4 linked regions of the Arabidopsis thaliana genome follow. The main gene of each other region encodes a partner of the protein of the gene in region 4 in a complex. Each region holds a gene or a part of one and is shown on either strand. Other genes may lie near its edges. The genes, in order: AT5G02950, AT5G40340, AT3G09670 and FVE.

Region 1 (6,620 bases), on a different chromosome or scaffold from region 4:
GAGAAGTTGAGACAATTATAGTCAATTTTTTAAAAGCCCATGACTTAATGGGCCTACTAATTGATGGGCCAAGTATTAGAAATCCGCGGAGGTAGAACCAGCTTCGCATATATTAAGAGTCACTGCCTTCACTAGGTTTAGGGTTTTCTCAGCCGCTTAAGAGCTTATCATCTTTGTGCTTCCTGCAAATAGCTCTTTGCTGTTGATCTTTCTCCTCCATCAACAAACATGGGGTACGTTTCTCCTCTATTAGATCTATCCTTCGTGTTCCTATCTCATTTCTCTGTTTAGCGTTTTATTTATCTGATTCACTTGCTGTTTCCATGAATTATGAAGGATTCTATAGAGTCTGCTGTGTTTTTTTTTTGTTTGAAATTGTTACATGTTTTCGACTTTTGATTGTGGTTTTTGATTGGAACTGATTCTATAGCAAATGCGTCTTCATTTCTGGATATGTTTGCTAAATGTTTTTTATGTATAGATCCACAATAGATTGTGTAAATTTTGAGCTACTCTGGAGTTCTAGTATGGTTGATAACTGGAGATTTAAAATTCGCTGTATGAGTATCTATGGTCTCTTGGGTTTTGAAGCTCACTTTTGCTGATGTATTAGAGATAAATCTTCTATCGTCTTGTTATTATTTAGATGAATTTCTTATTGATTTTCTGAGTTTTAACTATGGTTTATCGAGTGAAGTTGTTCTCAAATGTTATTTTGTGATGATTTGTTAACAGTAAGACACGTGGTATGGGAGCTGGGCGTAAGCTGAAGAGACTCCGAATTAACCAGAGGTGGGCTGACAAGCAGTACAAGAAGTCTCACTTGGGAAATGAGTGGAAGAAGCCTTTTGCTGGTTCTTCTCACGCTAAAGGAATTGTTCTTGAGAAAATGTAAGTCTGATATAACATTCAAGTTTACTTTTTCTTATAATTGATTTGTTGAGTAGAGACATTGGTCGTTGATGAGACTCTTGTGTTTGATGATGCAGTGGTATTGAGGCTAAGCAGCCTAACTCTGCTATCCGTAAGTGTGCTAGAGTTCAGCTTATCAAGAATGGAAAGAAGATTGCTGCCTTTGTCCCCAATGATGGTTGTTTGAACTACATCGAGGAAAACGTAAGTCACATGAAATGACTATTCAATCATCACACTATGGATTAGTTTCATTCATATGCTGATACATTTCTTGTTTATGGTGTTGCAGGATGAGGTCTTGATTGCTGGATTTGGTCGTAAGGGTCACGCTGTGGGAGATATTCCCGGAGTTAGGTTCAAGGTCGTGAAGGTTTCTGGTGTTTCACTCTTGGCCCTCTTCAAGGAAAAGAAGGAGAAGCCAAGATCTTAAGCAACCCGTACAAAAAGCTTCAAGCTTTTGATATGGTTTTTGATAGTTCAGTTTAAGTCTTGTTCTGTTCTACTTTATGTTTCAAGAACTTGATTTTGTGTTACATTTTATGAGTTTTTGAATTAAGACATGATCGTTTAATGTTATTGGTGTTTAATCAATTTACTCTTTTAACTTATAAGCCTCATCTTCAGTTGCGACTAACTTTACTGTTATCATTGGTATTTCCAGTTTTGGTTTTGTATGTCATAAAGTTAAGAATTAGTCTCATCACACGAATGTTACTTTTATTTATCGAAAACCTACTCTCATCATAAATCCTAGGTTACGTTTATTTATCGAAAATCTACTCTCATCATAAGACCTAGCTGATGATATCTGATCAGACCCTAATCTCTGAAAGTTAAGAGATGCCGTGACTCAATCAGTCATGTTGTTTTTTTCCGTTTGGGGCAAACATACTCGAGTCTGTAACTTAGAAGAGAAGGTCCAAAGATGCTGTATTTCCCTGCGCTGCTAAAGGCAGTCTTTGCGTCTTCCCCTCTTTTGAACACAACTTTGGCTCTCTTACCCTTCATCGTGACCTTAGTCTTAGACTCATGGAGAGGACCGTAACGTTTAAATATCTCGTTCAGCTTTTCTTCAGATGGAACCGAACCTGAATCCGCAAAGTTGAGGACTAAAGCATAGGGTGGTAATGAATCTGCAGAACAGTCCTTGAGACCAATTTGCTCTTTCGAGCCTGAGCCAGTGATTTCTTTATTTGCAGGTAATATCTCTTCTTCTGCAGAGTCTTTCTTATCACAAGGTTCTGATGTCTCAGTGATACTTGCCTTCTTTGAGTCACCATTGAGTTTACTGCAAAACAGTTCATTAATGAACTTTTCAAAATCTTCATAATTCGAGGGGTCTATGTTGATTGAATCAGGTATTCCCGTTGAGGTATTGGCAGCGTGAAGGCTTGAGAGCATCTCATCAGGAGAAGAAATCTTTCTTTCAGCAAGCTCTTGATGTCTCGGCTTCTTAGTCTTCTCATTCTCAACTTCCGTAGATTTAGAAGCACGGCAAGGCTTAAGTGTAGGAGTTAAAGAATTCATCTCATTTTCCACTCCAGTTCCATGACACGGTTCAGCCGTCTTCTGCAGTTTATTAGTATCACCCACTGACAAAAGACTTTCCTCATTAGAGTGTTTAGACACTGAATCCTCCTTTTGCTGACTTTTCTTGATCCTTTTCTCAGACTTACCAGATTCCGAAGACTCAACCTTACGCTTCTTTTCAGAATGCGACTTACCATCCAATTTCTCAGTTGATCTGCTCCCACAGCGTTTCTTTACAGTCAAATCTGACAAAGTCTTCTCCTTTGTCTGTTCAGCATTATCTTTATAATCTGTCTTTCTCTTTTTGGCAGATATTCCTTCATCCATATTTACTTCTGGGAGAGAAGCCAGGGTCGCAGCAGATTCCACCGACCTTACAAATGTTTCATAGTCAATGAAGTGAGAATAGTCTTTCCATTGTTGAAAAGCCAATACCTGAGCTCGGTTAATCACAAATTGCAGCTTCTCAGTCGCATCATAGCAAGGAAAGCAAGCTAAATGCTTCATATAATCCACAAGTTTAGCAGGTTCAAAAGAGATTCCATCCGATAACTTGTCTCCACCGTATCTAACACTTGAGTCCTCACGAATTCCAGCATTGATTATGTTCTGAGTCTTGAGTTTGTTATAGGCTTCCTCTGAAACACAAGAGCAAGATAAACCAAACTCTACTCTCCTTGAAACCTCATCCAAAGCACAATCAATAGCATCACGAAACTCAGCGGAGTTACTCTGCTCCTGCATTTGAGAGAAATTCTGATGAAAAGGCTTTATCTGAGATGCATTATTCCAAGCAAATGTACAATCCCCAAAATACGCAACCAAGACATTTCCTTTCTTGAAGTGCCTCATCGCAGCTTTAGAGGCAACAGATTTATCAAAGACCAGTCCAGGCCACCATGGATAACTTCTTAGTTTAGCCCAAACCAAATCTGAGTCAAAAAGCTTCAGATTCTCTTTAGAAAATCCTTTCTTATCCTTGTTCTTAAGCAGATCTGAATCAGCATCAAAATCAACCCCGTTACAGAGACTATCCTTATCATCACGAGCAGAGACAAATACTTTTCGCTCAACTCCAGTGAGGTTCACTACCAAGTCCTGAGCTTGAAAGCTCATGGGATCAGCTAGGGTTTCAGATGTGTGAGCCATACCGTAGTCAAAACTCGACGCATTTATGGCAAAATCAGCGTTGGAGTCAGATTCGACTCCTTCTGGTTCCGTAGACATAACGAGCACCAACAAAAATCCCTAGACAACGAAGAAACAAAAAAAAGCAGAAATTGCTTCAGTATATGCTTCCATTAAAGCAAAAACAGTACATCATACGAGAGACGAAGAAAATAATCGGAGAGCAAAAAAGGTGGACAGAACCTCCGGTGGCGGTTACGGTTTCGCCGGCGACGAAAGCTTAGATTTTGGGTAATGAAGAAATAACAGAGTTTCTTTCGTTTTGAGGGGGTTTATGAGAGAGCTACGTGTACGTCACGAATTATTCCACGTGGCAGTACTTGATTTTGTCTCGACTCATCACAACCATACATTATTACATTGAGTGAGGTTCAAAATTTTCAAACTTTTGCTTTTCCCTCTTTATTTGAACTTGAATTTGACTTGTTTTTACTGATATTAAATAGAATAGAATTTTACTACAAGTAGATTAGAATTTTACTACAACTAGTTTATTTCTAAAGAATTAAATTTGTTAATTTTATGTTTAATGAGAACCAAATGTTTTCCTACAACATTAAGACACTTTTTTATAAGTTTTCTAAACTTGTTTAATAGTATGTTTTACTAAAAAGTGATATTTTGAAAAACCTCTTTTGGGGATATTTTTAAATACTCCTCATAGACTAACAAAATAATATATCAATTCATATATAAACACAATAACACCGTTTATTGTGTAAAGTGCTTAGCTCTCTCAATGGTCAAAAAATGCAAAATCCATTTTCTTGTTATGTCTTTGTCATTTTTATTGTTATGTCATGTGGCGTCTCAACATTGAGAGGATATTTTGGGAGCCAGTAACGTTCGAGATTCAAAATTGTGGATGAGATTTTAACGATTGAAACAAAAGTACTAAAAAATAGTCGTTTATTAGCACATGTACTCTTTTTTTTGTTTGGACAGCTATTAGCACATGTACTCTTATATGTATGTATGTATATAAAAACGTGAATAGTGAGTGGAATAAGAGAAAGTAGTTAAAATTCAAAGCGATAAGAGTACCATTTTGTTTTTATTATATTCTATTCTATGGACGCGATTCCTCTGCGTTGTTTACCTATTCAAATGAAGTTCTAAGCCAAAAAAAAAATTAGTCGATTTGTTTTTATGTTCATAACACCCCACGGGCTAACTAATATGGTCCAAAACAATATAACAACAACAAAATAATCACGCAAAAATCTAAAAAACCAGCCTTGTGTCCATACTCCACCCACATATATAAGGAGAGAAACAAAAAGAGCGTAAGATAAATCAAGGAGAAGATTAAGAAAGATGGTGGCTGTTCAGTTGTTTACCTGGAAGCCATTGATTCTACCTTCTCAAGCTTTGACAAGAGATCGATTAGCTTCTTTTCACAGGTTTTGTTTTTGTAATTTCTTTCTTATACTTGATATTTCTGAAAACAATTGCATGGTGGTGACTTTATCCATAAGTGATAAGATGATGATTGTGAAGTTTGTGATCCTCAGAAGATTTTGAGTGTTTTTGTTAGAAACAAGCTCTTTATTTCCAAACAACTGATACAGATACTTAAAGAACACGGTATTTATCATTTAAGCGATCAATACTAAGTAACTCCTCTCAACAAATTCTATATTCTAAAAGAAATGCCAATGCCTCTGTTTATTTCTGTGTCTTCTCTTCTTTTCTTTATAATCCGAACCCTCTAGTTCCGTCAGCGTCTTCTTCGTCCTTATCTTCAAAACTTGCTTGGGCATATATCACAGTTTATTTTTGTTGTTTCTTCTTCCGGTGAATTTTACTTCATGTTTTGCTTACAGTAAATGTAGCCAAGTTCAATGGTTTCGATTAGAAAATGTGACGGTTTTAGTTAGGAGCTCTGAATTTGGGTTTAGAGTTTAGTTTCAAATGGAATTTGGGTTTGTAAGATAAAGGTATATCGTAAATTGATTCAAAATCTGGAAATTGTCATTCAATCAAAGCTCATTGGGTTGTGATGTTTACAAGTTGTGTATCTCTGATTCTTTTTTTGCAGGAGCTTGAGTTTACACTCTCTGCCTTTAGGTGGGATTAAGTCTTCTAGTTTCAGAGGTCAGGTTCTGTATATTTTTCCAACTTTGATGCAATTCTTTACGGTCTCATTGTTGCTGTTCTTCCACAATTAGACTCATTCTTGATTAGCTAATTGTATTTTTTTTCTCTCTATATGACAGGGACCTTCAAAGTCAAATCTCAAAGGACAGGAGATACAGAGCCGCCTAATAAAAACTTCAAAGATTTAAATTCCAAATTCTATAAGGTGAATCTATAGAATGAGTTTCATCACTGAATGTGTTATCACTCCATATGCTTATAATAATATAATCTTGTTTAATTAAATATGCAGAGTCTTCCATATAAACTTGTGATAGGATGCATCCCACTGTATGCGGTGTTGAGAATAGCGCAAAAGATATTTCAAGAGCTTCCAAATCTCATTCAGAATTCAGTGAAGGCTGGCTTGCCTTTTGCATGTGCATCAAACGCTATAGACAAACATCCTTTACTCAAGGCCATTCCTTCTTCCCATGATATCAAATGGGGTCTTGCAAGGTCTTCTTACCTCTTCAATACTCAGCTTGAGAAGAACCTTGGCACGTACGTCCTTAAACCCCAATGTAGTCTCAGAGTTTTAACGAGTATAGCTGTTTGCAGGCATGTGACTATATATGACATCCGTTCTGATCACTTGTCATGGCTATTGTAGGGTATTTGTGGTGCTCCTGATAACATGCTTTTCGTTTGTTATCATTGGAGGACTCTTCTTTTTCAAATTCAGGTAACTTAGCTATGTTTAAGAACTTCTTGTGATATCCATTGCATGGTTTCTTACTTTTATTCCCCTCCTTCTTGTTGTGAAGGAAAGACACATCCTTAGAAGACTGCCTCTGGGAGGCCTGGGCATGCCTCGTTAACGCTGATACTCATCTGGAGGTCATGAT
Region 2 (8,237 bases), on a different chromosome or scaffold from region 4:
AACAAATATGGTCAACCGAGATAATCCAGCTGTTACAAGCCTTGATTCTACGTATCACCCGCTTGTAAGATTTTTATAAAATGAATGAGGTCTTGTCAGGTTAGGCTCTTTGTGTCTCTTAATTATACATTAATTACATTGACTAATGTTAGAGTTCTGAAATCAATGACGATTAATCTATCATACATATTCATACTTTAGATAAGACCAGACCTCGTACGTTGGAATTTGAAAGTTAGTTGAAGAAGCCAAGACTGTTAGAGATTATTTTTTCTGGTTGACTTAAATAAATTGTTCCAACAAAAAAGTAAACCAAATCATTAAAACGTATTTATGTCTTAAAATTAAAACCAATCACGTTAACGTGACTTGGTAGATTTCGTGACAGCAATGGATATCTTGAATTCTCATCTTTTATTTATGAATTGAGGAGCAATATAATCATCTCACATTTATTTTGTAAGAATTTATCATTTTATGTCATTTATTTACTAAATAATTTTATATTTTATTCATATTTAGGCATTTTAATTGTTTCATAATTTTATTATTATCATAGATGTGATAAACTAAAAAATAGTAGATATATTGTCCCGTTATTTTTTCTTATGTATGTATTTTACTGCACATAAATTAATCTTCTGAATTTTTTATTTTTTATTTTTTTTTAATTTTGGTAAAAGGTGAAATTTTATACCATTTTTGTTTTTGACAGAATTACAAGGAAAAGTAGAAGCAGAACAAAACAATTTACAGAAAATTAAAGAACAACATTACAACTCTAATTGCAAAGGATCGCCGATGAGTGATCAAGGCCAAGTTAGGAGGAGAAACACCGATTCCGAGTCCGCGAAGCTCGGAAATTTGCGTTGTTGCCGCAGTACCGAAGTATTGGAATCCTCATCCTAGTTGCCACGAGCATGATTATTCAAGGTCCGTCCACAAAACCTCAAAGATAGAAGTCTACAGCTTCTCCGAGAACTAACGCAAAAACGAACAAGCAAACATGAACAAGCAAACATGATTAAGCCTAATGTTCTGAATTTGATAATTGAATTTGAAATTGGCCAAATATCTTAATTAACTCTTATACATTATCTGGATACATTTTTTGTGATCAATCAAATGGTTGAATTTGTTCATTGTCTTAGAACATTTATGTTGTTGGATCACTAATTAGCATTACGTAAATGATTCAGTCTCGACGAGACTCCCTTTCTAATAAAAATCTCCAACCTCCCTCTTTGTATGGCTTCATCAAACATTCAATACTCGTCGAAAGGATTTTGAAAATTTTGTTTGTAATATAATAAAATTAGTGGGCTTTCAAGAGAGTGATAAACCAAAAGCCCACTAATGGGTTTAGTATCAAAGTTGGTAAACTTTAAAAAAGTCTACACAAAAACATAGAACATCGATCTAATTCTGTCTACCCTACGACAAGATCATAGTATCACCAAGACATTAACCTCTCAAAATACTTTTGTTATGTTTTGCAGAAACCATAAATATCCTAAAACCTGTCCTGAAAGTTCTCAACCAACAAAATAAAAACATAAAATCATAATCCTAAGAAGATCTCATCTCTATCACTTTCTCCAACAAATTTACCATCTCACCTTCAAGTTTCACTTTCACTTCTTCAGTCATTCCTCCTTCGCATCCATCAAGTAACAATTTCATCTCATCCAGCTTTTTCTTCAGATATTCCACCTCCATTGTCGTCTCTGCAACTTCAGCTTCAGTTTTCTTCTCCTCTGTTCTCTCATTTGGATACTTGAGTCTGAATTTCACCGTCGAATTAGAAGTAAACGGACATTTCTCTAGTGAGGATTCAAAGGCTTTTTCTCCATCAGCTACATCCAAGAAAGCCACATGGGCAGAGAAGTTGTTGTCGACCGTATCAGTTCTCTCTTTGTCCAAAGCTCCAAATTTTTCATATATTTCAATCAGATCTTCCTTTTTAGGCAAACTTGAACCAGGACCAAATGTAACATATAGCTCAGCTCCTGAAAATTCCGTCTCAGTTTCTTTCTTTTTAGACTTTCCCTCTCTCTTCTTTTTCTTCTTCTTCTCGGGTTTCTCAGTCTCATTCGGGACTTCTTCTTCGTCGTGTTTAGGCTTCTTCCGTTTTCTCTCTTTCTTGGTTGATTCAACAGACTCTTTCCGGGTTTCTTCTTCTTCAACTGCTTCTGCCTTCTTCTTTGATTCAGGATTCTTACGTTTTCTCTCTTTTTTAGTTGACTCACTTGGCTCTTTCTGAGTTTCTTCTTCTCCATCTGATTGCTTCTTTGATTCAGACTTCTTACGTTTTCTCTCTTTCTTTGTTGACTCATTAGCCTCTTTCTGGGTTTCTTCTCCTTCACCCCCTTCCTTCTTTGATTCAGACTTCTTACGTTTTCGCTCTTTCTTCATTTTCCCATGCTTGTCTGTCTCATTCTCTTCTTTACCAGTTACCTCTATCTCCTCTGCTTTCTGCTTTGCTTTACCCTTCTTATCTTTCTTCTCTTTCCCCTTAGTTACAGGCTTACCCATCTCACTCAGTTCTTCCTTTTCTTTATCCGAACTATCATAGCTCCCTAAGAACTTGTGATTGGCTCCATCATGATATGTGAAGCTTCTATAGATGGTCATGAATTCTCTTACCATGTCTCTTGAGCTACTGTCTTTTGGATATTGTGTGCCAAGAGCAGCTACACGAATTAGATCCTGCATTTCCTTTGGTGTAGCTCCCAACCTCAGAAAGTCGACGGCATTACTAAGTTCCCTAGACAGTTCTTCTTGACCTAATCCATTATCAGATGATGGTTCACAAGGTTTATCCAACGTATCTTCTTCCACTTCCATGAGGCTATCACTAGCATCAGTCACTCGCTCGTCTACTTGGCTCTGACTTGAAACTTTCGAAGATTCAGATTCGATTGTACTCTTTTTTCTTCCTTTCCGTGAAAAATCTGACAAGAAATCAGGCGAGAGATACTTGCTCTTCTTCCTCTCTCTCTTTGATGTTTGTGTAGCGGTCTCGCCATTTTCAGTACTCCTTTCAACGACTGAATCATCAAACCTTACCTTTTTCCGCAGCGAAGCTAATGAAGTTGAATCGATATTTATTTCCAGATCTGAAATCTCTTTTTCCTCAGACTCTTCTTTGTCTCCACTCCCATCATCATCGCCATCATCCACATCCATTTTCTTCTTCTTCCTCGAAGTTTTGCCTTTGCTACTTTCTACCACTTGCTTGTTACCACCGTCTTCAATTGTAGCTACTTCACTCTTTCTTCTCCTCCACAGTGCAGTAGTAGTTACATTTTCAAGATCACCATTAACTTCATCATGGCGTTTTGTTTTCTTCCTACCCGACTTAACATTTGACTTTACATCTCCATCCGCAGGTTCTGTCTCAAACCTAACCTTAGCAGCTGACTCCTTCTCAATTATTTCAGTAATGCTTTTCTCCTTCCTTCTGTGGGGAAGCCTATGATCAGGAAAACCAGAACACTTCTCTAACGATCTCTGAAGAGACGACGACTCTTCATGATCCAAAGCTGCTACTTCTTCTACTCTAGACCGTTTAGCACGCCATTGTAACCCATCATTAACATTCTTTTCTTCATCATCATCATCATCATCATTGTTCTTGTCTTCAAGTCCTGGAACTGATTGAGGTTCATGATACTCAGTCAAACCATATCCTCTATTAGACCGATAAAACGCAGATACCTTCCTTTTCAATATCTCCAGCTCAAGCAAGCCACTAAAACTAACAGTCTCTGCAAAACTCTTAACATCTTTAAGAATCTCTCCATGTTTACCAATCAACAACGACGAAATCATTTCCCGTCTCACATCACGCACCAAAACACCTTCTTTAATCCCAGCATTGTTAACTAAAGGACTATCAAACTCATGCTTCTTCTCCTCAGCACAATCACATACCAATACACGCTCAATATGTCTACCAATTTCTTCAACCGCCTCTTCCACTGCACCTAGAAAACTCCGCGAATTACTCACTTTCGAACACTCTTTGAAACTCTCTGCAAACGGTTTCAACTGCGACGCACCGCACCAAGCAAATGTCCCGTCTCCGAAACACGCCACAAGCAATTTCCCTTTTTGCTTTATCTTCAAAGCCAAATCTGAAGCATCTGATGGATCATAAATCTGACCTGGCCACCATGGATGATTCTTAATTTTTCCCCACACAAAATCTCCTACACAGTATCCATGCTCTTCTTCTTCTTCTTCTTCTTCTTCTTCTTCTTCTTCTTCTTCATCTTCGCCATCTTCTTCTTCCTCTTCTTCTTCTTCTTCTTCTTCTTCTTCTTCTTCCACATCTTCCTTCAATTTGAGCAAGGAAGAAACTCCATTCATAACACAATCTTCAATAACTCCAGATTCGTTCAAATTCTTCTCATTTTTCTCGTCAACATCAACAACAACATCAGACTTTTTCTCACCGTTGTCGGAAACCCTAACACCGTTCTCTTGAACAACACCATCATCTTTTAGGGTTTTCTCAGCTGATTCAATCTCTGCAGAACAAGGCTTAGGTCCCGCATCTTCTCCGATTCCCAAAACAACTTCAATTTCCATTTTTCTTCCCGACTGTAGAAAAAAAAAATCACAAAACGACAAACAAATCAGAAAAAAAAATCAACCTAACTATTTACACACAAACCCAACAATATCTCCCAAAAAAACAAATTTTGAAATTAGGTTAACTCTTACGAAAAACCTAGAAAAACGAAAATATAAAGTAACAAATTTTTTACCTGATTTTGAGCTCCGAGAGAAACGAAACAACAACTTTTCGAACAGCGACCGAAGAATCTTCAAGAAAAAACACTTCTTTGTAAGAAGAACAAAGACACTCTCAGAATCTCATGAGAAAAATCCTCTCTTTTTTTTCTCTCTGGATTTTGATTTGAGAGAAGATGAAACGCGGCGCAAAAATTTCCTTTCGGAGAAATTTAAGGGTACTTTCGTAATTAATGAGTTTTTTTTTTTGCTTACTTATCTGCTTTTTTTTGCCCCAGGAATAAGACAACGTTTTTAATTTATTTCCCTAAATCAGCCGTGTCGCTATCACAATAAACTGACTAGCTACGAGAGTGTAAAATACAGCTTACTCGCTATGTGTATAAGAACATCAGTGTCTAGATTCTTACGTGGCGGAAATCGGATAGAGAGTAGATAACACGTGTATATGAACGCGAGTGGGATGAAATAAGAGAGACGCGTCACATGCTTTCGATGATTGACAGCTGTAATATGCTTAGACGGCTAATAAGCAGAGTAATAAAAGAATGGAGATTTTGAATTTGGTATTTGAAACGACACAAATATTTGCCGTTTCTCGGCCCAGTCCTTTTCTTTTTTTGCTCGGCCCAAACTTATTATTACACAACACCAGTATCTTAAATTTAGTGCTTGTTGATTAAAGTCTTTTATTAAAACCTCAATCCTAAAGAGTAGGAATCTACCAAGTAAAAGGAAAATCAAAGATCTTTTCTTTTTCATTATTCAACTGACCAACGGTATTTTGATTTTAGACACTGATTATTTTTTCTTTTTCATTCACTGCATTACTTAAGTGGAGTGGTAACGAAAATCTTGGTTATATATATTGAATTGAAAAATATTTGAGTTGAACCCTTATATTCACTTTTTTTATTTTATTCAATTAAAATTTGACATTTAATAATAATAAAAAAATTAATTTACTTATAAAATCTAATTTGTTACTAAAACAAAATTATTTATCGGTTTGAGTTTTATTAAAAAAAGATAAATGTTTAGATTTTATGATTAAACTAGATTTAGTCATTGAATCAATCTTCACACTAATTCATATTCAATCTTTTTGGTCAACTTATGTTACACCATATAAGAAAATCGCTTAAATACATCTTTTGACCCAGTTTAAATGTTTTAATTTTTTTCGTTGAGACTATATAACATGTGAAATCTGTTAGGATAACATTTGATACATCTAAACGTAATTTTCTTGTTGTGTTAATTTTACACGAACAACACGTTCTCATGACATGATTATATGTAGTATCGACGGCGAACCAATATGAATCAACTGTATAATCTGTATTAGAACTGTAATACCAAGTAATAGTGATATATGAATCATATATTTCCCACTACTTAATCATAGTTTGAAAGAAAGCTCAATGACCTTGAACCCAACTTGTGTAAATATTAGTCCATCTCCAAAGCCCAAGGCCCAAGGCAACGTAACAGACGGATCATTACAGTGCCAAGGGAATTCAGACACGTTTAAAATAATTCCGAATTGTAAGTTGTGAACGACCCACCATGTTATCTTTTCATTTATGATTCACATGGGGAATTCACAATTCTCACACGAAAAACATGTGGGCAAAACTAAAAAGACATGCAACCTAATTCAACAAAATGTAATGGTTCATATTTGTACTTGCATAGAATGCATATATAATATGATTTGAGGATGGGTCAAAACTCCAAACGAAATGATTTGAGCATATGTTCTAGAGATTCAGTCAGAATATGAATGCTATACAATCTAAACACTATAAAGCAACCTGGTCATGAGGTGATCTACGTACTCTCTTTGGACGTGAAAAATTATATCAACGGTTTGTCTACTTTATAACTTTTTTATTTATCAGTAAATATGGAAACATTGATTAATTAAGATCCAAGTCTCTTGATGTGATGAGAACATATGATAGCTAAACCAATGCCTCTACTTTTTCTATCTATCCAAATCTAGATTGTGCACCTTAATCTTTTCTACAATATTTATACGCATATCATAAAAATGATCTTAATCTACATGATTAGAAATAAAGGCAAAAACATATATAGATGCAATAGCGAACTTGATTGTTCATATTTAATTAAGTCTCAACTAAGATGATGATCTCTACCACTATCACTATCACATATGTGAAATTACTTGTGTATATGCAAGGACAACATTTGATATGTATTGATTTAGTTTGATATATACATATATTTGATTATATATTTTTACAAGTGTGCCTCTTGGCTCTTGAGAAAAAGCTTCCTTGGCTAAAGCAAAAAGTTTGGTAATCCTTAAATACATATGCCGTCTTACTGTAGTGAACTCACTCCCTTGCCAAACTTTTTGTCGTCCACGAATAATATCCTTGTCGGTCCGATTATTCTTCTTTATTATTTTTAGTAATCAGATGATTTTTGGATCAAAAATTAACCATCAAATTTTATTTCTTCATGCGAATTGCTAAAGCTCAAGTTAATCTAGACGTTATAGCATTCTGATGTTTTGATATATATTAACCAATACTTTATAGACCAACATAATTTAATTTAGCACAATAACTACACTTATTCACACCAATGTTCCCTCTTGTTTTTTTCTGAAAATTTTAATTTATGCTATTATTTTCTTTAGATCGAGTATATAAATTGTTGTTTCATTCATGTTGTCTTTTTTTCATCCTCTAATATAATGGAAATTTCTTAGAAAGATTTAAGGTTTTGATAGTTCAGCTCAAAGAGTTAGGCTAACGTCGGGTTCCACATGTTGCATTGTCATGCACAAAATTGGATACATTGGGAATAAAGGTAACAATAAGTGTGGAAATTTTATAAACCTAGATGACACATGTTCTATGACTATAGGCTAATAGATTAACATGTTATGTATGTTTATGAATGTTATACAGCATGTGACATGTGCATTTCATTGATCCACATGTACATGTATTTCCACACCCGAAAGAGACTTCTATATGATTTTTGGAAACTTCAGGAAAAATAATTACAAAATATGGATTAACTCTTTTGATATCCATACCATAGACCACTTTTCTACAGAATTGATGTCAAAATATTCCTAAAATTACTCTATAGACATGACGTGAGCTACATATCAGAAATAGATGACCAGTTCAGGTTGTTTCTTTAGTAAGGATAAAAGTTGAGTTAAAATCAACTTGTTATAAGATATAAATTTGTTGAATTTGGCTTTAAAAGTTAGGCTAACGTTGGGTTCCACATGTTGCAATGTCATGCACAAAATATATTGTTCTATAATTTGCACGAATTCTGATTTTCATATATAATTTTCAAATTCAATAATTAAAAAAAAACAAAAAATAGATTAACCATGATAGTGTATGTATCTTACTGGTTAGAGCTACTATCATTCATATTAGATTTCAAATTCGGGATGTTGTCTCCATCACTTTATC
Region 3 (6,974 bases), on a different chromosome or scaffold from region 4:
TTGGAATTTAGGAATTAAGGATTTGTTTTTTTGGAATTTAGAGATTTTGAAATCAATTTTAGGAATTTTGATTTTTTGATTTCAATAAAACGACGTCGTTTTGAGTATTGACGGAAACTAATTAACATGTGTTAACGGAATTAACGGATCCGTTAATGAAAGATAACGGCATGGAGACTTTGGCGTAGTCAACAATAATATTTGTGTGAAACGGCCGGTCAACGTTTTTATTATGTTTTATTTGGCCACACAAAAATTTTCGTATTAAATGGCCATTTTTTAAAGTTCACGTATAAAACGACATTTTTCCCGTATTATTACCTTAAGGAGTTGGCATAATATTTGGGTTGACATGTGATGGGCCTTCTTGTTAAGCCCAAATATAAAAATAATCATTTGCCGTTTAATCAATTTCATTGCAGACCGGTTAATGCCTAAACCAGGGCTCTCACGAGTCTTGACCCAAGCCTATATATACCTATTTTCTTATCACTAGGGTTTTTCAATCTCTCACGAACTTAAAACGTCGCGCCTTTAGCAGTTTCAGCTCATCTCTCGACTTTTTCACTCGCGCCGTCGTCAACATGGGGTACGGTATCCTCTCTTAGACTCTTTATGTTTCAGTCTCATCTCTCCGCTTATAAGTGATCGTGTTTTTGTTATGTCGGGTTTAGGATTTGTTTTATGTTTTTTTTGTTTATTCCGGTTTCTCTTTGGTGCCTTGCCGTTTTCGTTATCTCGGGTCGGGATGGTTGAATTAAGGGATTTGAATGACATTCATACGTCGTGTAGTAATACTTTGTTAATCACCCTGTTGAAGCTACGAAGTTGCTATAATTCGTAGTTTTTTCTTATAAACGTTGGAGTTATTTGGTCTGAAATGTGGAAATTATGATTATGATTTTTGATTTTTTTCCTTACTACACTCTCCTCTTGTGTTAAGTATTTGTGATTTAGATTATAACTTTATGTTCTTTATCAACTCCGAATTTGTTTTATATGTTCTGAGTGAGTTGATTTCATCTGATGAAATGTCCTTTGGTTCTCAATTTCTTTTATCTTCTATTTGAATATCTTCAGTAAGACACGTGGTATGGGAGCTGGTCGCAAGCTTAAGCAGCTTCGGATTACTCAGAGGTGGGCGGACAAGCATTACAAGAAGTCTAATCGAGGCAACGAGTGGAAGAAGCCTTTTGCTTGTTCTTCTCACGCTAAAGGAATCGTTCTTGAGAAAATGTAAGTTTGTATAAACATATATATTTACCATTTCTTGATTTTGTTAGTAGTATAGATCTTGACTTTGATGAGACTCTGTGTTTGATTATGCAGTGGTATTGAGGCTAAGCAGCCTAACTCTGCTATCCGTAAGTGTGCTAGAGTTCAGTTGATCAAGAATGGTAAAAAGATTGCTGCCTTTGTCCCCAATGATGGTTGTTTGAACTACATTGAAGAAAATGTAAGTTAGATTGACATCTACTTTTGAATGAGTAATCAAATTATATTCTTACCAATTACTCATTCATTGATACTGTGTGTAGGACGAGGTGTTGATTGCTGGATTTGGGCGTAAAGGTCATGCCGTCGGAGATATTCCCGGAGTTAGGTTCAAAGTGGTGAAGGTCTCTGGTGTCTCACTCTTGGCCCTTTTCAAGGAAAAGAAGGAGAAGCCTAGGTCTTGAGCTCTACTACATTTTATGAATTTTTTTTGATATTTGAAGGCATGTCTATGTACTTATTCAGTGACATCTCTTATTCTATTTTCCTCCGAGTTGAGGTTAATTTTGTTTGGATTCTAATTTATTTATTCAAATTCATAATTAGTTTTGGATTCAAATGAATTATTGACCATTAAATTGCACAAATCTGGAAAAACAAAAATAACTTTGTTACATTCTCTCACTAGTGTTTGTTCAACTCTGATTAAATCATACAATTCTAAACTTTGAAAGAGAAGAGAATCCATCTAAAAGGTATATTCCACTCTTGGGTACTAACAAGAACCGGACTCGATTTTAGAAAGATCTGTATTAGTGGGTTAGACGCTGATGCTGAGCCTTCCTACTCTGCAGAAACATCTTCCTTGCAACTATCAGATCCACCAGAGCAGTTCTTGTTACTCGGCTGCTCTCTCAAGTCCAAGCCACTGATTTTCTCCCCGGTTAGATTGCTGTCCATAATAGATTTCTCATCCGCTACATTTGCAGCTTCTTTCTTATCCTCATGTACGACCTGCTCCTTAGAAGAGTCTTTCAAGTCTCTAGACTCCAACATCGGGTCCTCCACAAGGTTAGTACTAGGAGCTTCCTTTCTGACCTGATCAAGTTCTCCGGATAGGTTGTGGTCTAGGCTGACAGAATTGGATTTCCCACTTGTGGTTTTGGTAACAGAAGCAGCGTGAGGGCTTGAAAGTGTAGTTGAAGGAGAAATTTCTCTTGCTGATAATGCTTCGGCTTTAGGTTTCTCCTGAAGACTCTTTCCACTGCCATTGCTCTTGGCTGCCTTTTTGGAGGTCGAATCACTGCAAGGTAAGAGTCTGGTTGGTGTTGAACAATGCATCTGGTTTGCCACTTTCAATATGCTTGCCCCAATTCCGAAACTTTTTCTAGCTTTCTGTGGTGTAATCTTATCACCAGCAGACAAATTATTTTTTCGATCATTTTTGGGAGAAACTGGAGATCCTGGATCCTCTGTTTGCAGGTTTGCCTTAATCTTTTTCGTGGACTTGGGAACTTTTGACTGCACAACCTTGCGTTTCTTTTCGCAATGCGGAACATTACCAGACTTTTCATGTGATGTGTTCCCATTATGTCTGCTTACGCGTTTCTCAGCAATGAACTCTGCCAAAGTTTTCTCCTTTTTCTTTGGAACAATAGTTTCTTCATATTCAAACACTCCATCGTGTTTACAGTCACCTTTATCAGGATCAGAAACTTCAACTAAGCTACTTTGCTCTGTTTGCAGGTTTGTCTTTCTTCTTTTAGTATAAACTTGTTTACTCTTTGTTGGTTCAGGATCAGAAACTTCCACTAAGCTACTTTGCTCTTCTGCAGGAGAAATCTTGGGTGCAGACTCTACTGACCCCTGGAGTGTCATAAACTCGGGGAGGTCAGTATAGCCTTTCCAGCGATTAAAAGCTAATAACTGTGCTCTCTGACTTACAAGCTGCAGCGCATCAGTAGCATCATAGCTAGGAGAGCATGCTAAACGCTTCACATATCCCACAAGGTTTGCAGGTTCAAAGAAGACTGCACTTGAGACCTTGTCTCCACCGTGTATTGAGCTTGAATCTTCTCGGATTCCAGGATTGATTACATTCTGAGTCTTGATCTTCTGATAGACTTCCTCTGAGATACAAGAACAAGCTAAACCAAACTCTATCCTTCTTGATACCTCTTCTAACGCAAAATCAATAGCATCAATAAAATCAGGTAGACTACTCTGCTTTGCCATTTGGGAGAAATGCTGTCGAAAAGGCTTAATCCGTGACGCCTCATTCCAAGCAAAGGTGCAATCTCCAAAATAAGTTACTAAGAAACTTCCTTTCTTGAAATGCTTCTTCGCCTTGTCTGTTGCAGCCGAGGCATCAAACACCTGTCCAGGCCACCACGGATGGCTCCTTACTTTAGCCCAAACCAAATCTGAGTCAGAGATCTTCACCTTCGCAGCTACATGGGCAATTTCATCATCCAAAATACTCTCATCCTTGCTCTCATGCGGTTCTAAACCCATAAAACATACAACATCCAAGTCCTCAACTTTTGTTCCTTGCTTTTCTAAGCCATCGGGTTTTCTATCCTGAACAAGGTCTTCACTATCCAGTCTGCCATCAGAAACCTTCACATCACTGAGATCAGCGCCATGAGAACAGACCATGTCAGGTTCCACTTCCTTCTCAACAAGAAGCCCCCTTTTCTCTACCATCATGACCTCTTCGCTATCTACTAGAACCTTCTTGTCACTTTGGTTACTCTCTCCACCTACATTTTCGGTTCTAGTGCCTAGATCTAACTCTCCATTTACAGATTCCGTTTCCTTAACAAGATTAGTAAATCCATTTACTTTCTCCATCCCATTATCACCAGCTGAAGCAAAGTTGCCGCATCCTTCTTTATCATCTCCAATTGTTTTCAGCTCCTGAGCTTGACCAGCTAGGGCTTCAGACATTTGATCATTTCCGACCTCTAAACTCGACGCATTAGCCTCTGAGACTGATTCAATACGTTCTGATTCCGTCGACATAAGCAGTACCAAAACAAAACCCTAGAAAATCATCAGAAATTTTCTTCAGTTCATTTCCCAACAAAACATATAACAGAACCTACAGGTGAAGAAAGAAAGATAGAGAAGGTGCTCACAACAAACCTCTGGTCACGGTGGTGATGAACAGCGAATTTTCCGGCGGCGGGAGCTCGTTTATAGAAATGAAGTAAACGAAGACGTCAAATCGAACCAGAAACGGGTTTCTCGTTTTTTTTTTGTTGTTGTGAATTTTTGTGCGGTTCAGTCCACGTGGCGGACAACTAAAGCTTTATTAATTGATTTTATCCTTTCTTTTGGTTATCTTTGGGTTTTAGGGTTCAATCATTTGGCCCACTTACCAAAAACCCATCACAAAAAGCCCTTTACCTTTTTCCCGCCAAAACCCATTGGCCTAAGCGAGATTTTTCTCTGCGACTGACGACGAGCGAGTTACAGTGGGTTAAGCGGTGATGGGATTTTACGGTGGTGGAAGCATGGCATCGGGTCGCCCTGAATCAACAGGAATTGATTCTCTCGGCATCGGGAAAATATTAGCTGTATACATCAAGGACAACGAGAATTTGGCCATCGACGAGGATAAGTTGCAGCTCACGGCGGAGCTCATCCGCGTATTCTCCGCATCACCTGGTAGAGACATAGTTTCTCAGGTACATCCTCACTTGGCCATCATCAAATTTCTGGTAAAAAGTTTATAAATCTGAATTTTATAAAGCTTGGTATAGCTTGATTTCGAAATTAAATTCCGGTTATGAAATTGTAATCTATTTAGCTAGATTTCGTTTCCACTCTACTTCTATGAAGAATTAGGGTAGATAGAAAACGATTAATCAACTTCTCTATGCGTCAATTAGTTCTTCTTAGTATCTAAAAATAGGAGAAACAGTTTATAAGTTTATTCCATGGCTTGAGCCAGGTGAATGAAGACGGTGGTGGTTCCTTCTCTTTGTCTCTTGATCTCCAACAATTCAAGAAAATATCTGATATCGAGAACTTTTTCATAAATCTAGAGGATAATCCTAAAGGAGTTATCCCATGTATGAATGCTGCTGTTCACAAGGTATGCTATTACTTTTCATTGGGGTTTGTTTTCTTGGTTGGCATAAGATGAAGACTTATGTCATCTCTCACAGGTTCTTTTTGATCAATGGGAGACTAATGAGTTTGAGAATGTTATGAAGATCAATGTTCGTCTGCATAATTATCCTGAATCTTCTATCTCCCTGAAAAACCTGAGAGCAGCTTATATTGGTAGACTGTCTCATCTAGCGAAATAAATAATAAGATGTAAAACCTTAAGTGAGACATAGCATGAGTGTGTGCTTTTGAAATTGCAGGAAAGCTTGTAACCGTTCATGGGACTGTTGTTAAAGTTAGTACTGTGAAACCCCTTGTCACACAGATGGCTTTTGACTGTGGAAAGTGCAAAACTGGCATAACCCGGGAATTTACTGATGGAAAGTTTTCTCCTCCACTAAAATGTGATTCCCATGGATGCAAGTCCAAAACGTTTACTCCAATCCGGTCCTCTGCTCAGACAATTGATTTTCAGAAAATCAGGTGTTCTCCTATTTGCGTCTCATCATTTTGTGTACTTCATCCTTGTTAGTTATGTATCTGACCATTGTTAACCAGCTGTCCAAATGCATTTTAGGGTACAGGAATTGCAAAAGCCTGAAGACCACGAAGAAGGACGGGTACCCAGAACTGTAGAATGTGAGCTGATGGAAGACCTTGTGGACATATGTATCCCTGGTGATGTGGTGACAGTTACAGGGATTATAGGAGTAATTAATAATTACATGGACATTGGGGGAGGTATTGATTTTATAACTTTTCATGGAGTTCTCTCCATCCTTGTTGTGTCCATAATTTGCAAACATTAACATGCCCAAACGCCTGCTATCCTTACCCGTAGAATAGCTGGAAATTTGTCTCTTAAAGTTCTCTTCCATGGTTTTTGGGAATCTCATTGCAGGAAAGTAAAATAGAGCACTGCTAAGTTGTTTGTTTTACTCATATTGACATTTTACCAAAGATCAAGGAGCTAGAAGCCTCATTACTGGTATTAAGCCATACTCAAGCTTAACAAACATTTAAAATGCTCCTGTTTCAGGGAAATCGAAGACCAAGAATCAAGGATTTTACTATTTGTTTATAGAGGCAGTTTCAGTGAAAAACACCAAGCGGCAGTCTGCATTTGAGAACTCAGAAGACTCTAGTAGCAGTGCCCAGACTGCAGATGTTGGTGACTTATATTCATTCTCTCAGAGAGACTTGGAATTTATTGTGAAGTTCAAAGAAGAATATGGTTCTGATACATTCCGTCGCATACTTCATTCAGTCTGCCCGTCTATTTATGGCCATGAAATTGTCAAAGGTTATACTTCTGTCCATAACAAGATTTGATGATTACAATTAGAAGCATTGCATATCATGATACGTCTGTTGTTTGTTTTCTTCTTATCATTTCAACAGCTGGGATAACACTATCTCTTTTTGGAGGTGTAAGGAAGCACTCGATGGATCGGAACAAAGTTCCAGTCAGAGGAGACATTCATGTCATTATTGTTGGTAAGCTTTTGAACCATGTTTAGCTTGAGCTGAGGAAAGGGTATTTGTAACTAGTTTGTAGCACGAAATTGTGATTGATGATTTTCGATGCACTAATAGGTGACCCAGGATTGGGCAAAAGTCAGCTCTTGCAAGCAGCAGCT
Region 4 (7,812 bases):
AACAAAATAAATTAATGTGTTGAATTTTTAATGCACATCATATATTTGGATCTCTAATTAATTTCTTTGACTGCATTCTGCAAACATTATCTATAAATACTTATTTGATAGTGTAATTTTTATTCATCCTTAAATTACTCAATCAATTTTTATTTCTAAAAGAACAAATTATTGTTATGGAACCACTAGGAGATCGTCGTCCTTGCTGCGTATGTATCACCAAAAATAGAAATTGTCCTAGATTCTGCGAATATGCGGAATACTTTCCATATGAGTTGTATACTTTTTTTAAAAACTTTTTTTCCTTACTATTATCTTCTGCTAAACATTTTACTTGATATTAATTAATTTTAATTTTCAGGCGAAGTCATTATGAAAGTACTAATGAATTGTTTGGCACACCAAAGATCATTAAGATGATGAGGCATGCTCCTGAAGAAAAAAAACAAATGCTTGCAACTTCCATAATCATGGAAGGTAATGCTTGGACAAATGATCCTGTAAGTGGTGGATTTGGTATGGTGCAAAAGATCATGTGGAAGATTATGTTACACAAAGCCTACCTTCATGAACTCGAGGAGAAGATTAAGGAAGAGAAGGAAAAAATCGAGCTTCATCTTTAAGTGATACATTGTAGCATATATTATTTATGCATCAAATAATGATTATTTAATATAAAATCATATTTAAGATGAATATTAAATTACCGTCGAGCAAGTTAATACCTTATATTTCTTATTCATATTTCTTGTGATTAAATTGTTTGTGTATTTAGATGATCATAAATGAAACTTTGAAATCTAGAGAAACATATTGTACATATAATAAAGTAAAAGTATAAAAAATTGATAATTTTAAAAATACGAGAACTTCTCGTTTCTTGTTCTAAGTAAAATAACATTCCAATATAGAATTAGGGTTTAGTTGCCTTTGGAAAATTGCTTTGTAAAAAGCTAGATATTATGTTTCGTTTAGTATATCTTTGACTCATGATATTTGACATTTGATTAAAAATCATGTTTGCCTTACATGCATAATATCTTAAATGCTTGTATCACATGTCTCTAACTACCACGAAAAACTTTGTGTATAAAAAATTCAAATCTTTAATTTTTGGACGACAAATTCATTAGCGTTACTAATTTCATTGTACCTATCAGTTTTATGACGATAATAATACAATTTATTTCGTCCCAAAAAAAATAATATTTATTTATTAAGTTAATAGGAAAATAGGTGTAAATATACAAATATGTATATGTAATATGCAATTAGAGAATATATGAAACACCACTATACTATCAACATTAATATTAGTAAGATGAGAAACATAAATTAGATGATTTGAGTCAATATTTTTCCCTAGTAATCTTAGTAATAGTTTTTTTTTTCTTTTATTTGCATAGTTCATATACATATTTGTATACATATATGTTGTGCAGATCTAAAATTTTTGTTTAATACCTATTTTGCACCTCTACCAAATAAATTGTGTTAGAATTTTAAAAAATTCATAATCACAACAAAATTTCTAACACTATTTAATTTGTTGATCATAAAAAATCTGAATTTTTATGCACAAAACGTTTCTTAATAGTCAAAACTAGTGATATAAGAAGTGCAATGCCAAGAATTATAGAGATTTGAAGCGAAATTTTAAAATGACATGATTATACATAACTTTTAAGTTCTAAACTATAATCATAATAAAAAAAATTAAGATATTAAATAGAGCGAACAGACGTTTAGGTTTTTTTCGGATTTACCATATTCATCAGATTAATCCATGCTGGATTGAGAAAAAGCCTCAAGCTTGGAACAACTACATGTAAATCATAACCTCGAGATATTTTAAGGCTTTCAATGTCCCAAAGAAAGTTATTTGGTGTCGAATCCATGAGTGAAAATTGAGCTTTTCACATAGAACAAAGAGGGATATGAAATAGTACAATTTTATGTTTTAAATAAAGAAGATAAAATGAAAGGTAAATTTTATAGGTTTAGCCAGCAGAGAACAAATGAAATGAATGTTTTAAGTTTAGACACCAAGAACAAACTTAGGGTTCAAGTCTAAGCTTAGTCATATACTTCTGAACAATATTGGACTTTATTGTTCAAGTATTAAACAAACATTGAAATCTTCTTAAATCACTTTTCAAAATGCAACGAGGATCTATTCTTTTTTTTTTTTTCAGAAGAAGCTACAAGAAAGAACAACAAGTTTGGATATGAATTATAAAGTTAGTAATCCATGTAAGAGACGCTTATATTAATTAATTTATACTGTTAATTATTTCATCCGTAATTTTTATTATTATTCAATAAAGTATTTATTTTACTGAATTAAAAAATAATAATTATGGGTGTTTGGATATTCGGTCGGGTATTTTGGGTTTGAGTTTTTCGGGTTTAGAATTTTAAGATCCGTTCGAGTAATTCAAGATTCCGGGTCGGGTTTGGTTCGGTTTCGGGTTTAGTTATATATTGAAATATCAAAATTTTGTGTCCGAATCTATTAAATTATTTGAAAATTTCAAAAATTCCCTAAACAACCCGAGTAGTTTTGCTTGAATATATTTAAAAATACATAAAAGTAACTAAAATATCCGAAAAATCATAATATTGTCTATATGTAAATATAAATATAAATATTTTAGTTATATTTATATTTAAGATATGTTTGGGTACCAGTTCGGGTTCGGGTTTTTCAGGTTTTGAAGTTTAGATTCAGTCGGATATTTGAAAATTTCAGGTTCGAATTTAGATTGGGATTTTTGGATTGGGATTTTTGGATCGGGTTCAGATCGGTTTTTTCGGATTCAGGTATTATGTCCAAAGTAAAAATGGTAAACGGTGGTTGTTTTGTTTGTATTTGTAAAGCAGAAGAGAGAGAGATATAGAGACACTGAAAGCAAAGACCAAAAAAGAAAAATTAAAAAGAGAGAGAGGAAAATGGAGAGCGACGAAGCAGCAGCAGTGTCTCCTCAAGCAACGACACCGAGCGGAGGAACCGGAGCTTCTGGGCCGAAGAAGAGAGGTCGGAAACCTAAAACCAAGGAAGATTCTCAGACGCCGTCGTCTCAGCAACAGAGCGATGTTAAAATGAAAGAAAGTGGGAAGAAAACGCAGCAGTCGCCGAGTGTTGACGAGAAGTACTCTCAGTGGAAAGGTCTCGTCCCCATTCTCTACGACTGGCTCGCTAACCATAACCTCGTCTGGCCTTCACTCTCTTGCAGGTCTCCCCCTTTCTCCTTTCCTCTCCTTCTAGGGTTTCGTTTCGTAATCGTTTCTTAGCTTTGAACATTCTCATGTTTGGAATGAATTTAGTAAAATCTTACACATACATTTTCTCGATTTCTGGGTTTAAGTGAGATTGTTGCGATTGTTCTAGTTAGGGTTTTGGATGTGGCTCTGTCTTCATACCTTGATATATCTGATGTTCTATTCATGAATTGTTACTATTGATTACCTTGTTGGTTACTAATGACTAAGAGGAATTTTCAGTTTCTCTGAGTGTTTATATCTGATGAAGTCTTTAGTTGTTGTGCTAAGAGTTTCCATTTGGTGAATTGTTGTTTGATTTTTTTATAGATGGGGTCCGCAGCTTGAGCAAGCAACCTACAAGAATCGCCAGCGTCTGTACCTCTCAGAGCAAGTAAGTTTTTAGCTTTCTCTTGTATCTTGTTGTCTCATCTTCTTTATATACTTCTCATCGTATTATTTGTATTTTTCTTGGTTGTGTCACCAGACTGATGGAAGTGTGCCCAATACTTTGGTCATAGCAAATTGTGAAGTTGTTAAGCCAAGGGTTGCTGCAGCAGAGCACATTTCTCAGGTATTATGTGGTTTAATACTAAGCTTGTGTCCTTTCCATATCCTACTCCACACTACAATTGGTTTCATGTTTGACACTTATATACTATCTTCTGAAAATGTGTTCTCAGTTCAATGAAGAAGCACGTTCTCCATTTGTGAAGAAGTACAAGACCATCATTCACCCTGGAGAGGTGTGAATTCTGCCCACTCTTGAGATATTTCTGTATTGACATTGTTCTTTTTAGTTCTATTTGGTTTGTTAATTGTATCTGCATCCCTGTTTCATCTGTCCATGAAGTTATTCGTTTGGCACGTTGGTGAAAGTAAATTTTGATGTGTATTCATTACTAATTTGCAATTGCAGGTTAACAGAATCAGGGAACTCCCACAGAATAGTAAGATTGTTGCTACTCACACCGACAGTCCTGATGTGAGTGCTGCTTCTATTTTGTTATGGTCATAGCAACTTGAAATATGTCGGTTTCATATTTCTGTATTTGGCAGTCAAAGAGCATCCTTTGTTCGGACATATGTCCAGTTTCAGAGTTATCTAAATACAATATGTTGATTTCAGGTTCTCATTTGGGATGTTGAAACCCAACCAAACCGTCATGCTGTGCTTGGAGCTGCAAATTCCCGTCCAGATTTGGTATGTCCACTTCTGAGAATGTTGTTTTATGCTTTATTCTTGTTTGTTTCTCATCATTGGAAGTGATAAATCTCTTTGATATCTTCTTAAATAGTGCTTCTTGTTTGCATCATCTGAATGAACCATTTTTCATGCAGATACTAACTGGGCACCAAGATAATGCTGAATTTGCTCTTGCCATGTGCCCAACGGAACCCTTTGTGCTCTCCGGAGGTTTGTGTTTCTGTAATTTGTAGAGTCCAATCCTGTGGTTTGCCAGTTTCTCATACAAAAGTTCTTCTCTTAGGCAAGGACAAGTCAGTTGTTTTGTGGAGTATCCAAGATCACATCACAACGATTGGGACAGATTCCAAATCATCTGGATCTATCATCAAACAGACTGGTGAAGGTACTGATAAGAATGAGAGTCCTACTGTTGGCCCACGAGGTGTATATCATGGCCATGAAGATACAGTTGAAGATGTGGCATTCAGCCCGACGAGGTAACTTCTTAGAACAGACTCCTTCTATTGATATCGTGTTTGTTTATGCATACTGCAGATATTTTCATGATTTTCTAATAATACTTCTGGTGAACTTTTATACCGTGAAGTGCACAAGAATTCTGCAGTGTTGGTGATGATTCTTGCCTTATACTATGGGATGCGAGAACTGGCACAAACCCTGTCACGAAGGTACTCTATCTTTTGAATCCTATCAAAAGTTTGAAGATTTACCTCCTTTTGATATTATATCTTACTTTTTTGTTTTCCAGGTTGAAAAAGCGCATGATGCTGATCTTCATTGTGTTGATTGGAATCCTCATGACGACAATCTGATCCTGACAGGGTATGGAGAAATACATACAAATAGATGATTAATACATACTTAGTATCTAATTAAGAAATTGATGAATATTTCAGGTCAGCAGACAACACTGTCCGGTTGTTTGATCGTAGGAAGCTTACCGCTAATGGAGTTGGTTCGCCTATTTACAAATTTGAGGGACACAAAGCTGCTGTTCTTTGTGTTCAGGTATAATCAACTTTTTTTTTTTTTTTCCTTCTTTGTATGAAGTATATCTCTTAACCCACTGACACTATCTTGTTATTCAATTCAGTGGTCTCCTGATAAGTCATCCGTCTTTGGGAGCTCTGCAGAAGATGGTCTCTTGAACATCTGGGATTATGACAGGGTGTGTACATAGTTCACTCAGATGTCTAAAATTAATCTTTCTTCACTATCATCACTGAAACATATTCATTGTACTCATGTTTGGTTTGTTTAATTAACCATCAGGTCAGTAAGAAGTCTGATCGTGCAGCTAAAAGCCCCGCTGGGCTCTTCTTCCAGCATGCTGGTCACAGGTTCTTAAAGACTTATCTTGATTTTTCTTGATTGCTTTCTCATTTTACTTGCTTCTAAGTTCCCTTGTTTATAAACCATATTAGGGACAAAGTTGTTGATTTCCACTGGAATGCTTCAGACCCTTGGACTATTGTCAGTGTTTCTGATGACTGTGAGACTACTGGTGGAGGTGGAACATTGCAGGTAACCTTGAAATCTTTCTTGGTACCTTGATAAGCAATTTTATTGACATACCGTTAAATGTTGTTTATACTTTCTTCTATGGCAGATATGGCGGATGAGTGACTTGATTTACAGACCAGAAGAAGAAGTCGTGGCAGAATTGGAGAAGTTCAAGTCGCATGTTATGACTTGTGCCTCCAAGCCTTAAGAGTAAAGAAAACCCATTGTCTATCTATCTATCGCCTATGGTAAACTAATGCGGGTTTTAGCGAGGAGTCTTGGTTTTTGTAAGGCTGGTTTGTCTTTTGAGATATTGGTGGTAGCTTTTAGGACCTTTCCATATCAGTTAGGGGTACATGGTTCTGGTTCATGATCCTGTTTCATCAGACTCTTAGGTGCTGTTTTGTTCAACTGAGATGTTAATCAAATCGGACCAACTTTATGTGTTTTGGTTTAAGGTTTCAATACTTGGCCTGAACCTAATGATTCCTTCTCTGTAACTAGTCGAGACCAACCCGGCTACAAAAAAAATAGTTGCATTGATGTTCAAATGCAAAGCAGAAGGGGTCATTATAAAACAATATAGTAATAAGCATCGCAAAATTTGGAAACTGGGTTCTTGATGATTCGTCGCATCTTAAATAATGTTTGCATTGTCGTTTTCATTAGAAAAAAACTGTTAATCACGCTTAGCAGTAGGATTAGGTGATTTTCAATTCACAGATTTATTCGTAGGATTTTGAAGAAATTTTAAGTATTAACAGTCACTAAACAATCAGACCATTGCAAATCATACATAGATCACCTGGTCATTTCATAAAACTAAACTATATGATAATGTTTTACTTTATTGGGCTTAACGTTAATGGTCCTCCCGCTTAATAGGCTTTATGAAGTCTCTTGATGAGCTAGAGACTTTAAAAATCCAATCACAAAGCCTACATGAGACCGTCAAGATCAGTCAGAGAAGATCAAACGAAGAAGTTTTTGTTCCAAAAGATACTAAAGAGAGAAACATGAATCAATGTATTGCTTGAGGAATAAGGTAGGGAAGCTAATCAATCACAAGTAGACGAATCGGAGTATTTCATAAAATTAGGGTTTTTAGACCTACATTTTCTTTTCTTTTTCCGACGATACTTAAATTGCTCGAGAAACTCTATTAGTGAGAAATCCCCCATCGGAATCTCGATGGAATCATCTCCTTCTGGATCCGAACCTCCGCAGAAAGTCGTTTCTAAACTGCAGAAAGTAGGCTGGCGAGCTACGATGATCTTCAATCTCGGTTTTGCAGGTTAGAGAAATCTTCATTACTTTCTTAGTAAGGTTTTTAGTTTTACGTCCGTAATGTGTTCGATGTAATGCCTAGCTGAGAAAGTTCTTTCCTTTTTCTTTATTAATTTTTGAGAATAGAAAATACGAATTCTTCTAGCGGTCGTCTGATATATATGATACTACAATTTATCCCTTGAACTGTTGTTGTTGTCCTTGCTTTGATTCTCGAAGAAAGCTGATTGCATTACTCTGAGAGTGTTTGATTCTCCACTCTATTATCAGATATTAGAACATGCTTATTGAAAGGACATTTTTTGGATCTGTATCTCTCAGTCACTGTTGATGTTTTCAGCGACATTGAATTAAGCAAATGTAGTATCTAGAAACTATCTATATCTCTGTGTGCGTGTGTGTATATATCTTGGCTAAGCATTTTTGCGTTGAATAGAGGATTCACACAGGTTCTTGTAAATTTTCTGGTTCATGGACATGATTGCACATCTTATTATCTTGTACTCAATACTTTTCAAATGTTTCAGCATCTCGATTTTTAGCTGGCAGAA

What was found.
Region 1: FVE (region 4) and AT5G02950 share a complex: the UniProt entries of both Arabidopsis thaliana proteins name them as parts of the PRC2 (polycomb repressive complex 2) complex.
Region 2: FVE (region 4) and AT5G40340 share a complex: the UniProt entries of both Arabidopsis thaliana proteins name them as parts of the PRC2 (polycomb repressive complex 2) complex.
Region 3: FVE (region 4) and AT3G09670 share a complex: the UniProt entries of both Arabidopsis thaliana proteins name them as parts of the PRC2 (polycomb repressive complex 2) complex.

The regions. Positions count from the first base shown.
Region 1 is NC_003076.8:688,005-694,624, reverse strand, and holds AT5G02950 (Tudor/PWWP/MBT superfamily protein), read right to left. Parts: upstream 3,941-6,620; 5' UTR 3,817-3,940; exon of another isoform or gene 3,694-3,816; 5' UTR 3,673-3,693; coding exon 1,774-3,672; 3' UTR 1,526-1,773; downstream 1-1,525. Other genes in the region: AT5G02960 (Ribosomal protein S12/S23 family protein), read left to right, coding at 229-233, 736-891, 990-1,116, 1,205-1,345; AT5G02940 (ion channel POLLUX-like protein, putative (DUF1012)), read left to right, coding at 4,951-5,036, 5,675-5,730, 5,853-5,938, 6,026-6,276, 6,386-6,457, 6,540-6,612. UniProt on the Arabidopsis thaliana protein: May influence gene expression by regulating the function of the PRC2 complex and modulating H3K27me3 level.
Region 2 is NC_003076.8:16,130,085-16,138,321, forward strand, and holds AT5G40340 (Tudor/PWWP/MBT superfamily protein), read right to left. Parts: upstream 5,310-8,237; 5' UTR 4,776-5,309; intron 4,609-4,775; 5' UTR 4,597-4,608; coding exon 1,570-4,596; 3' UTR 1,313-1,569; downstream 1-1,312. UniProt on the Arabidopsis thaliana protein: Together with PDP1, PDP2 and PDP6, interacts with MSI4/FVE and MSI5 to suppress FLC, MAF4 and MAF5 expression by regulating the function of the PRC2 complex and modulating H3K27me3 level, thereby promoting flowering.
Region 3 is NC_003074.8:2,963,902-2,970,875, reverse strand, and holds AT3G09670 (Tudor/PWWP/MBT superfamily protein), read right to left. Parts: upstream 4,676-6,974; 5' UTR 4,363-4,675; exon of another isoform or gene 4,356-4,362; intron 4,261-4,355; 5' UTR 4,240-4,260; coding exon 2,059-4,239; 3' UTR 1,818-2,058; downstream 1-1,817. Other genes in the region: AT3G09680 (Ribosomal protein S12/S23 family protein), read left to right, coding at 585-589, 1,081-1,236, 1,330-1,456, 1,539-1,679; MCM8 (minichromosome maintenance 8), read left to right, coding at 4,710-4,907, 5,174-5,317, 5,391-5,508, 5,595-5,817, 5,912-6,075, 6,374-6,637, 6,736-6,831, 6,931-6,974. UniProt on the Arabidopsis thaliana protein: Together with PDP1, PDP3 and PDP6, interacts with MSI4/FVE and MSI5 to suppress FLC, MAF4 and MAF5 expression by regulating the function of the PRC2 complex and modulating H3K27me3 level, thereby promoting flowering.
Region 4 is NC_003071.7:8,453,054-8,460,865, forward strand, and holds FVE (Transducin family protein / WD-40 repeat family protein), read left to right. Parts: upstream 1-2,702; 5' UTR 2,703-2,952; coding exon 2,953-3,236; intron 3,237-3,591; coding exon 3,592-3,655; intron 3,656-3,748; coding exon 3,749-3,835; intron 3,836-3,944; coding exon 3,945-4,007; intron 4,008-4,180; coding exon 4,181-4,246; intron 4,247-4,390; coding exon 4,391-4,465; intron 4,466-4,602; coding exon 4,603-4,678; intron 4,679-4,751; coding exon 4,752-4,947; intron 4,948-5,057; coding exon 5,058-5,139; intron 5,140-5,219; coding exon 5,220-5,293; intron 5,294-5,367; coding exon 5,368-5,479; intron 5,480-5,564; coding exon 5,565-5,639; intron 5,640-5,743; coding exon 5,744-5,811; intron 5,812-5,895; coding exon 5,896-5,995; intron 5,996-6,080; coding exon 6,081-6,182; 3' UTR 6,183-6,589; downstream 6,590-7,812. Other genes in the region: LBD8 (LOB domain-containing protein 8), read left to right, coding at 177-277, 362-623; AT2G19530 (uncharacterized protein), read left to right, coding at 7,166-7,268. UniProt on the Arabidopsis thaliana protein: Core histone-binding subunit that may target chromatin assembly factors, chromatin remodeling factors and histone deacetylases to their histone substrates in a manner that is regulated by nucleosomal DNA.